2 linked regions of the Schizosaccharomyces pombe genome follow. The protein of the gene in region 1 binds, or shares a complex with, the protein of each later gene. Each region holds a gene or a part of one and is shown on either strand. Other genes may lie near its edges. The genes, in order: naa10 and naa15. A codon is read from its position in the direction of its gene.

The links.
Region 2: the proteins of naa10 (region 1) and naa15 are in contact, whole or in part, in a crystal structure (PDB 4KVM), measured with the Schizosaccharomyces pombe proteins. Residues at the interface, in NP_594309.1 of Schizosaccharomyces pombe: Met1 (codon at 2,025), Asp2 (codon at 2,022), Ile3 (codon at 2,019), Arg4 (codon at 2,016), Pro5 (codon at 2,013), Arg7 (codon at 2,007), Ile8 (codon at 2,004), Ser9 (codon at 2,001), Thr12 (codon at 1,992), Gln15 (codon at 1,983), Asn16 (codon at 1,980), Leu19 (codon at 1,971), His20 (codon at 1,968), Asn21 (codon at 1,965), Leu22 (codon at 1,962), Pro23 (codon at 1,959), Asn25 (codon at 1,953), Tyr26 (codon at 1,950), Gln27 (codon at 1,947), Leu28 (codon at 1,944), Lys29 (codon at 1,941), Leu32 (codon at 1,846), Tyr33 (codon at 1,843), Ala35 (codon at 1,837), Ile36 (codon at 1,834), Ser37 (codon at 1,831), Pro39 (codon at 1,825), Met40 (codon at 1,822), Tyr43 (codon at 1,813), Pro48 (codon at 1,798); in NP_588160.1 of Schizosaccharomyces pombe: Gln185 (codon at 2,558), Glu189 (codon at 2,570), Leu219 (codon at 2,660), Asp220 (codon at 2,663), Arg221 (codon at 2,666), Val222 (codon at 2,669), Arg251 (codon at 2,756), Asn252 (codon at 2,759), Asp254 (codon at 2,765), Asn255 (codon at 2,768), His256 (codon at 2,771), Gln257 (codon at 2,774), Lys294 (codon at 2,885), Cys297 (codon at 2,894), Arg300 (codon at 2,903), Lys322 (codon at 2,969), Ile327 (codon at 2,984), Ser329 (codon at 2,990), Val332 (codon at 2,999), Asp333 (codon at 3,002), Ser336 (codon at 3,011), Val414 (codon at 3,245), Glu415 (codon at 3,248), Met418 (codon at 3,257), Asp444 (codon at 3,335), Asp447 (codon at 3,344), Arg448 (codon at 3,347), Phe449 (codon at 3,350), Ile450 (codon at 3,353), Phe474 (codon at 3,425).

What each region holds. Positions count from the first base shown.
Region 1 is NC_003424.3:3,727,928-3,731,831, reverse strand, and holds naa10 (NatA N-acetyltransferase complex catalytic subunit Naa10), read right to left. Parts: upstream 2,080-3,904; 5' UTR 2,026-2,079; coding exon 1,935-2,025; intron 1,849-1,934; coding exon 1,654-1,848; intron 1,339-1,653; coding exon 1,236-1,338; intron 1,189-1,235; coding exon 1,132-1,188; intron 929-1,131; coding exon 841-928; 3' UTR 817-840; downstream 1-816. Other genes in the region: glutaredoxin Grx2, read right to left, coding at 24-92, 140-160, 408-561; moa1 (meikin), read left to right, coding at 2,798-3,316; retromer complex subunit Vps29, read right to left, coding at 3,728-3,904. UniProt on the Schizosaccharomyces pombe protein: Catalytic component of the NatA N-terminal acetyltransferase, which catalyzes acetylation of proteins beginning with Met-Ser, Met-Gly and Met-Ala.
Region 2 is NC_003421.2:1,360,674-1,365,769, forward strand, and holds naa15 (NatA N-acetyltransferase complex regulatory subunit Naa15), read left to right. Parts: upstream 1-1,944; 5' UTR 1,945-1,954; coding exon 1,955-2,008; exon of another isoform or gene 2,009-2,043; intron 2,044-2,059; coding exon 2,060-4,195; 3' UTR 4,196-4,280; downstream 4,281-5,096. Other genes in the region: Hsp20 family protein, read left to right, coding at 4,549-4,968.

The sequences.
Region 1 (3,904 bases):
GGAAAACAAATTTGGGTTCATACCTCCAATGAATTGGTTGCGAAAGAATATGCTGGGTACTGTAGACTGTTTGGTCTTTTCATGTAAATAAGCTGCTCAGGTAAGCATATGATAAAATCAGTTTGTTAACTAAACACACCTTGGATGTCAGATCCATTTTCTAGTGTAACATCAAGTTAGTTAAAAAGGATGAAAAGCAGAACAAAAAACTTGAAATGTTTCGCTATTTCTCAAGATCATGGAAGGAAACAAAAATTTTCGTAGTTTCATTACACAATTATGAGGTTTCGAAAACCCAATTAGACTATTATTTCATATACTTAATTTATGTAGACATAACTCAAGAAACTTTACAATCGATCAACTGAATCTTCAGCTCTTAAACAAATGAAGAATACCATACTTACCTATTTTATCTAACTCATAAGCCTTATACGGAGCAGAGTACTTTGTAAGAGTATTTTTGGCTGCTTTGCAGAAAGGACAGAACGATTTACTAAAGACAGTAACCGGATTGTTTGAGATCGCCTTTTCAACAAAAGCTTTTGCTATAGAAGTCATTTCAGCTTAAATAGGTATTCGTCTAAAAATGCAGTGGATATTGGTGACAAGTAATACAGTATGACTATCGAGGTGTTGGGCTACCTAACACCAAACGACACGATTAGGCAGTTAGATGTGATAAACAAAAACTCGAAATTACAAGAGTTATTTCGAAATATATTTAGTACACCAGTAAGCGAGTACAATCAAATGTTAAATACGCTATCACGAAGTTATAACTGCAGTATCGTACACTACACCCTAATTCACTAATTAGAAATAACGGTATATATTTTATTAGTTGTTCAATGCAAGAGATTGAACGGTTTTTGCTAGTTCGTCGTTGGTTTCTGGTGTATCGAATTTCAAAGTAGAAAAATCTTTGCTAAAAATTGTTAGTAACCTAGATAGTTGTGATGACGTTGAACAGTCATATATTGTCTGAAACAACGTAGGTAATTATACAGAAGTTGACCAAACTAAAGAAAGAACGATTGTCACAAAGATTGTATATAGTTTTTGGAAAGAATACTCATTAAACGATCCATGCAACCATCCCCAACCTAGTTTTTACAACAAAGTACTTACTGCATAGCATAAGCATCTTCACCATCAGCATAATATTTGCTTTCAATCCCTTGAACGCTAAAATAATGTTAGAATCTCTTCAATGATGGCGAGTAAAAACATACTCAAATTGCAAAGTATCACGATAAAGATGAATAGCAGCTCTGTTGCTTTTACGAACATGAAGACTCATATATTTGGCGCCATAAACTTCGACCATGGCTCTTTCTGTTCATTTAAGTAGTTAGTATCTTTTACTTTTTTTAAAAAAATTTTGTTTAAGGAATGGACCGAAAATATCAAGGAATCAGCAGGAAGGAAACATTGTCGAAAACAAATTAGGTAAAAAAAATGAATTGTTGCAAGGAAAAAACCAACTCACCAAATGAACAATTCAAAGTATTAGCAGACCAAGTCTTGCACAAAATAAAATATATACATATTGGAATAATCATCGATAACAACTGCAAAAAAGCTTAAGATTTCCCTCTAGCTCCTCCTTGGATATATCCGTAATCTACTTCGCTCTCAATTAACACTTACGACTTTGAACCATGAGACGTTTAGCAAGTCCTAGATGACGATAGGAGCGCATTACTGAGACACTTGTGATATGACCATGAGGGATCCCATCCTTAGGCTCTTCTTCCATTTTTGCAAGAACATATCCTACGACACGTCCTTTCGGATCAGTAGCAACATAAGAAAGCATAGGCCAAGAAATAGCATGATAAAGGTCTACATTAAATTAGAAAATAAGAATCATTGTTTTAATACTGGAAGTTCATTGCCGTGCAGCAAGAATTACAATGAATTGAACTTACAATATTTTAACTGATAATTTTCAGGCAAGTTATGTAAGTTGCAGTTCTGCATCCCAGTAAGGTCACTTATACGAGCTGGCCGAATATCCATCTTGCCAATCGTTTAATTTTTAGCAATATCTATGATTTTTGTTTGTTAGTGGTTGGAATCAAATTTCCAGCATACCATATTTTAAGAAAGCGCAGTGAATGTAAAACGAAATTCAGGGAATGCAAAGCAACTACTGCAAAGCTTTTAGAAATGATAAGATTCATTTGATGTTAATATTATCTGTCAAGTATTTTAACGTCAAATATTTACTGCTTTGCTAAAAAAACTATGTTTTTTGGAGACTCACAATGTTCGACGTTAAGCTCCTTTTAAGTTACAAGCCGTTTAGTACACATTGCATAACCAAATTTCTAATTACTTAATGTTGCGTTTCCTAAGTTGTTTTGATTTTCAATGCAGATGATGAGAAATCCTTATTATAAATAGACAATGATGTTTACGATGGATTGCACACTTAAAGACATTAAATCAAAACTTTATATTAATTAGCCATTAATTATATAATCTAAGTTAATACTTATAATCACCATAACATATTTTGTTTACTGTGGAATCAAAAAGGATTAGCGATGCTTGATTGAATCCTTTATTATCTTAAAGTCACACTACCTTGGTTTTCCTTTAAAAGTTTTAACAGCAGCCTTGTGGTTTCACTTAGGCTAAGTAAACTCAACGAAAAAACATTAAGATTTGTTATTCGTAAATTCAGCTAGTAGACCTCGAACATTAGGTTTTCCCATTGGTAAAAATGTAAACAAAACCGCATTAATCATATAAAACATTAAGCGAAAAAAAACAATAGATTGCATTTATGGCTATAAATAATGAAAACGAATTAGAGTATAAATTAATAAAAAAAAACAAGAATCCTAAAATATCAAATTCAAAAAAAAAGAATTCGACACGTCCAGCTTTACAAGACAAAACTAATCAAACATTACCAATTCATCAAAATCAAGCCTTTTCAAACATTCTTCCATCTGATTTTTCAATAATTAAGACACCTGAGACAAAAACTGCTGACGATTTCCCCGTAAATGGTTACGAAGGCTTAAACATTTTAAAATTTGATCTCGAGTTATTTTACAAACTTAAACCTGTAGCAACGTCGACCCCGAAGTCTTGCATGAGGACGGGCTCCAATTTATTTTTAAATGAAACTGTTAAACATGTTCCAGATGAACGGTTAGTTTCAAACATCAAGAATACCCAAACAAAGGACTCTATCACAAGAGATTCTGCGTATTATCACAGAAAAACTATGACAGAAAGCATAATCAAAACACTCGCTGCATTTGATGCTGAGGTTGATGAGATTATATTGTTTTAAATCTCTAACTGACACTGGAATATAATCGTACTTTTCAAGTACTAACGCATCTATTTTTCATATGATATATTTATTAAAAAAGATTTACAAACCTGCTTTACAAATCAACCTTGACTACGATTTTATTTATACATATCGATCAGGACAAACGATAGCATGTTCAACAATATTTGACGCGAAAGGCCGACAAAGAAAAGTGGATAAAGTCAGCGCATAAATTTAACCTTCAAACATTTCTTTCATTTTAAAAAAGCAAGTAAGGAAAGCACATACTTTTCGGTAGTCTACATACTCGGTAAATTAAGATACGGATTATGCTATAATAAACAGAAAAACATCTAATTATCATTTAACACTTCTTTACGATGAAAAGACCGCATATTCCGTGGTTCAATCGTATATTTCATGAGATTATTCTGGTTTTCTGTACTGCATTTTTTCAACCCGGACCTCTCCATCAAAAATCCTATAAACATAAAGTATTAAAACTGCTCCTTGAACATCCATTAAAACAAAGCTTGGAACGATTTTTTCATCATCTTCTACAGCAGAAACATTAGGTGCACCTGTAGCTGATCCAGGGTTAAC
Region 2 (5,096 bases), on another chromosome or scaffold:
CCAGATGGTACAATTTTTTATTATTCTTTTGTTTACGGATGACAGTAAAAGGAATGTAATTTTGGTTGTTTTAGCTTCCTTATTGTTTTCGAATACAGAGGTATTCTAATATGCGAATTATGTTGTACCTATATTACTGAAATAGCTCATTCATGAGGGACGTGGTTTAGTACATCCCACTTATAGCCTTGGGAATGCTATAATTGTAAATGTTATTTTACAGTATCGTTTAACTAGTAATAAGTATCTGTTTTGGTAGCTTTATTATGCAAAGCTAACAGAATGAATTAAACACCGCACATAAAAGTGATATGCAAAAACGTAATACAATGCAATACAGTGTAGTATGGCTGGGATAAAATAACAGCTGTACGATGCTCCTCCTAATAAAAGTAAGCAATAACAAGAATACAAATTGCCCCCACTCGGAATCGAACCAAGGATCTTCGCATTACAAGTGCGATGCTGTACCACTAAGCCATAGGGGCAACGTTGATTGCTGCAGATTTGAAGTAACATATTAATAAGTAGATATTTTTGTAAGATTCCATTAAAAGAGAGTGATATTCATTGTTTATATAAAATACTATTGTCTGAAAGATAAAGAAGTTTTTATAAATTTTTTCTTTTTAGAAATATAAATTATAGTAGAAAATGTGAAACTTTTTCTTGCGCGGGATCTTGCACTTCGCAAATCTAAAAATCAGTATTCGACTCTTTAAGTCTCTTCAATGCTTAATTTACCATAATTTCTCATCCATTGTTTTTTCTTAGATAATGAGATTCATCCAGCGTTCTAGTTAATATAAAAATCTTTCTTCACTTGAGGATTTGAAGGCTAATTACGGTACCTGCTTAGTAGAATACATATCGTTAAATTAAAGAAACTTTTCTTATAGCGTATTTGATACTTTTCGTGTGTTGCAATTAACTTGTTAATTGCAATTTTTTTGATTAAAAAAAATAATGTATCCTTCGCATTCGAAAGGATATTTCAAATTTTTGTGCAATGCATCTCTGTTTGCCAAATACTTGAAAAGCAACGAGTTCTTCTTCTACTGAGAACTCCGCAAGGTAGGTAAATCTCGTGTAGCTGCTAAACAAATCCTACAGATAAGAAAAAATTGCCATTATACTTTTTTTCTGTAATATTTTTAAAGGCACAATTATCCAATTTTGTTTAACAGAACTAGTGTATTGCTAGATGAGGAAGTCTGTAGAAATGTGAAGTCGTATCCCATAGTATCAGGAATTAGTAAATTTAAGAGATTTTCAATCCACTGATTGTTTTAACTTCTCTAGTTTGTAATGTACCTTTTGTTTCAACCTTGGATGTTGGGACGTTTCTAGTTGAGGAGTGAAGCTACGAACCGTTTTAAATAATTAAGTGGTATTGCCAAATAATAATTAGTTTATAAATATACTGGAGTATACTGGTTTTCTATTCAAAAGATTCCCGATAAACTTTGCCTTACAGATATGTAATACCGTGTCCCCAGTAATTGCAAACAACTAGCAATTGAACCAATAATGAAAATTGATGTAGTCATTTGGTTCATCGATACTGGCCAAAATACTTAAAAATAGTTTGTTTACTCTTTGAATTTTCGTATTTTCATATAAGAAGGACATGCAAAAATTGTTCTCGATGTGCCATCTTTTCATGTTTACCATCCATCGTCCATTGCATGGCTATTCGATAAGTTTCCATAAACGATTTTTTGAATATGTAGTACTCAGCGAAGTATGAACGCAATGTTTGCTGTCTTTTTCTACAAAACCATTTCTTCCAGGTCTAACATTCAACGATACGAGATAATTTATGAATCAACGTCTTTTTATAAGCACAAGACAAAGAGTAATGAAGAAGAAAGCAACCTTGCAATGTGGAACACATTAACGAAATTCATTCCAAGGGTTCGTACTCTTCCCAACCTGTCCTCTACACTTACCCATGGCCAAAGTTCAACTGAGCCCGAAGGAGATTACCCTTTTTAGAACAGCATTAGTATGTTAATCTTCTACAATTAACAAATTGAAAATTTCTCTAACCCTGTAGAAATGCTATGAAACAAAACAGTACAAAAAAGGATTAAAGGCTATCGAACCCCTGTTAGAAAGGCATCCAGAGCATGGAGAATCCTTAGCAATTAAGGGAATTTTATTACACTCTTTAGGTAATACCAAAGAAGGATACGACAACGTACGACTTGGTCTTCGCAACGATGTTGGATCCGGTGTTTGTTGGCACATTTTCGGACTAATTAGCAGAGCCGATAAAGATTATGTACAGGCCGCTAAATGTTACATTAATGCTCATAAGCTTGAGAAAAACAACTCGAGTCTTTTGCGTGACTTGGCGTTACTCCAATCTCAACTTCGTCAATACAAGGCTCTAGCAGACACTAGGAATGCTTTGCTGCAGGACAATCCAGGAGTACGTGCCAATTGGAGCGCTTTAGCAGTAGCTCAATTTCTTCGAGGGGAATACGCTAGTGCATATAAAATAGTGGATGCATTTGAATCCACTATAAATCAAGGTGTGCCCGTTGATACCCAAGAAGAATCCGAAGCCATGTTATTCATGAACCTTGTTATATTAAAAAAAGATGGTGTTGAGGATGCCTATAAGCATTTACTGTCAATAGAAAAGAAGGTATTGGATCGGGTTGCGTTTTTGGAGACTCGGGCAGAGTACGAGCTTTATCTTTCCAAAATGGAAGAAGCCAAATCAACCATATATCTTCTGCTTGATCGAAATCCAGACAATCACCAATATTATTATAATCTTCAAAGAGCGTATGGGTATGAGGATGCCAGTGGTAAAGTATTGGATAGTGCTGAGTGGTTGAATTTATATTCTCAACTTGCTAAAAGGTATCCCAAATCTGAGTGCCCTACGAGACTACCTTTAGAAAAGCTTGAAGGGGATGAGTTTTTAACTCATGTAGATCTTTACTTGCGCAAAAAGCTTAAGCGTGGAATCCCATCTGTGTTCGTCGATGTCAAATCTTTGTACAAAGATACCAAAAAATGCAAAGTTGTTGAGGATTTGGTTAGTAAATACGCTTCCTCTCTTTCTACGACCAACAAATTTTCTGAAGATGACGATAATTCACAGATTGAAATTCCCACCACGCTTTTATGGACATATTACTTTTTAGCTCAGCATTTTGATCATGTTGGTGAGTTGGAAAAAGCTGAGAAATATGTTGATTTGGCAATTGATCATACCCCAACGCTTGTGGAGCTGTTCATGACGAAAGCTAGGATTTCCAAACATAAGGGAGAGCTTCAAACTGCCATGGAGATTATGGATCATGCTCGTAAACTTGATCTGCAAGATAGATTTATTAACGGCAAGTGTGCTAAATATATGCTCCGTAATGATGAAAATGAACTTGCCGCCAAAACGGTATCGTTGTTTACACGCAATGAGGCTGTTGGTGGTGCTGTTGGCGATCTTGCAGATATGCAATGCCTGTGGTACATGCTTGAAGATGGGAAATCATTTGCTAGACAAAAAAAATTTGCTTTGGCTTTGAAACGTTTTAGTACTGTTTTTAAAATATTTGATACTTGGGCTGATGATCAATTTGATTTCCACTTCTTCGCATTTCGCAAGGGATCTCTTCGTACATACCTGGACTTAATGTCTTGGGAAGACAGTGTTTATGACGATCCTTCGTTTAGAGAGGCTGCCCAAGGGTCTATTGAAATCTATTTTGCCTTATTTGATTTACCATTTGCTAAATATAGCCCTAAATTACCCGATTTTGAGAAGCTTTCTAGTGGAGAAATAAATGAAGAAGAGGAAAAGAAGATATACAAGAAGCTGAAGAAGGACCTTAGTAAACGATTGGAACGTGCTGAGAAGCTAAAAGAGGCCGATAAATCTCGTGCAAAATCTGAGGACGGTATGCCGGTAAAGTATGATGAGGATCCTCTTGGGGAGAACTTAGTTGCTACTAGTGAACCTTTGAAAGAAGCTCAAAAATGTCTTGAAAAATTACTCCCCTATGGAGATAAAAACCCAAGTGCTTACATTTTGGCGGCTCAACTTTACACTCGTTTGAAAAATTTCGATACCGCTAGTAAATACCTCGAACAAGCTAAAGTAATTTTGGGACAGAATGACCCAACTGTGATATCTACAGAGAAGTTTTATAACTCTATCAAAACTCAGTCTAACTAAAATAAAAGGTTTTTTACTTTTTGTACAATAATAGAAGCTGCAAACCACTTTGTTTAACAAATTAGTATGGAAAATAAAAGTGCATGGAAATAATATAAAGATGGTATTTTCATTGTTTTGTGCACCCCATTGTACCATTGAAATGTCTTGTTTTATTATATTGTTACAGAGAGAATATTCTGGTATATTTAACAAATCCCGGTTTTTGCCTACGCATATATATGTAGCATCACCAACCCACACGTACTTAGGATATCCGAAACGCAATTGTCCTTCAATTTGCTTACGCTTTGATTAATTATTACTCATCTTAATCAAAGTTAAATTTTTATTTCATTGTAAACACATTTAATATGTTGTTTGATGCTTTTACTAACGGATTTATGAATGATATTTTTGAATTTGGTGACCGATCGAAATTCAACAGATCGGCATGGTTATCGTGCTGGGGCCCAGCATTGGAGCTAAGAGAAACAGAGGATACTATTGAAGTTGATGTTGAAGTCCCTGGAATCGATAAGCAAAACCTTAAAGTTGATTTACATGGATCGAAGTTGACTATTTCTGGTGAGCGTAAAAAGCCAGAGGAAGAAAAAGCGGGCCCTCTTATTCGCTGGAGTGAAAGATGTGTAGGTGCTTTTTCACGTACGATAACCCTTCCTCAGCCTGTCGATGAAAAACTTATACACGCTTCTCTTAACAATGGTATCCTAAGCATTGTTATGAAGAAAAAGAACCCTGAGTTTACGACAAGAATTGTTGAAATTCAGTAGTTTCAAATACTCAATGCTAATTTAAACTATAGCATTGTCTTTTTTTGGTCCTGGCATTTTAATGCTTGTTTTATGTTTGTTCACCACCTTTTTTGCATGACATCCGATAAACTGCATGTAACAGATAA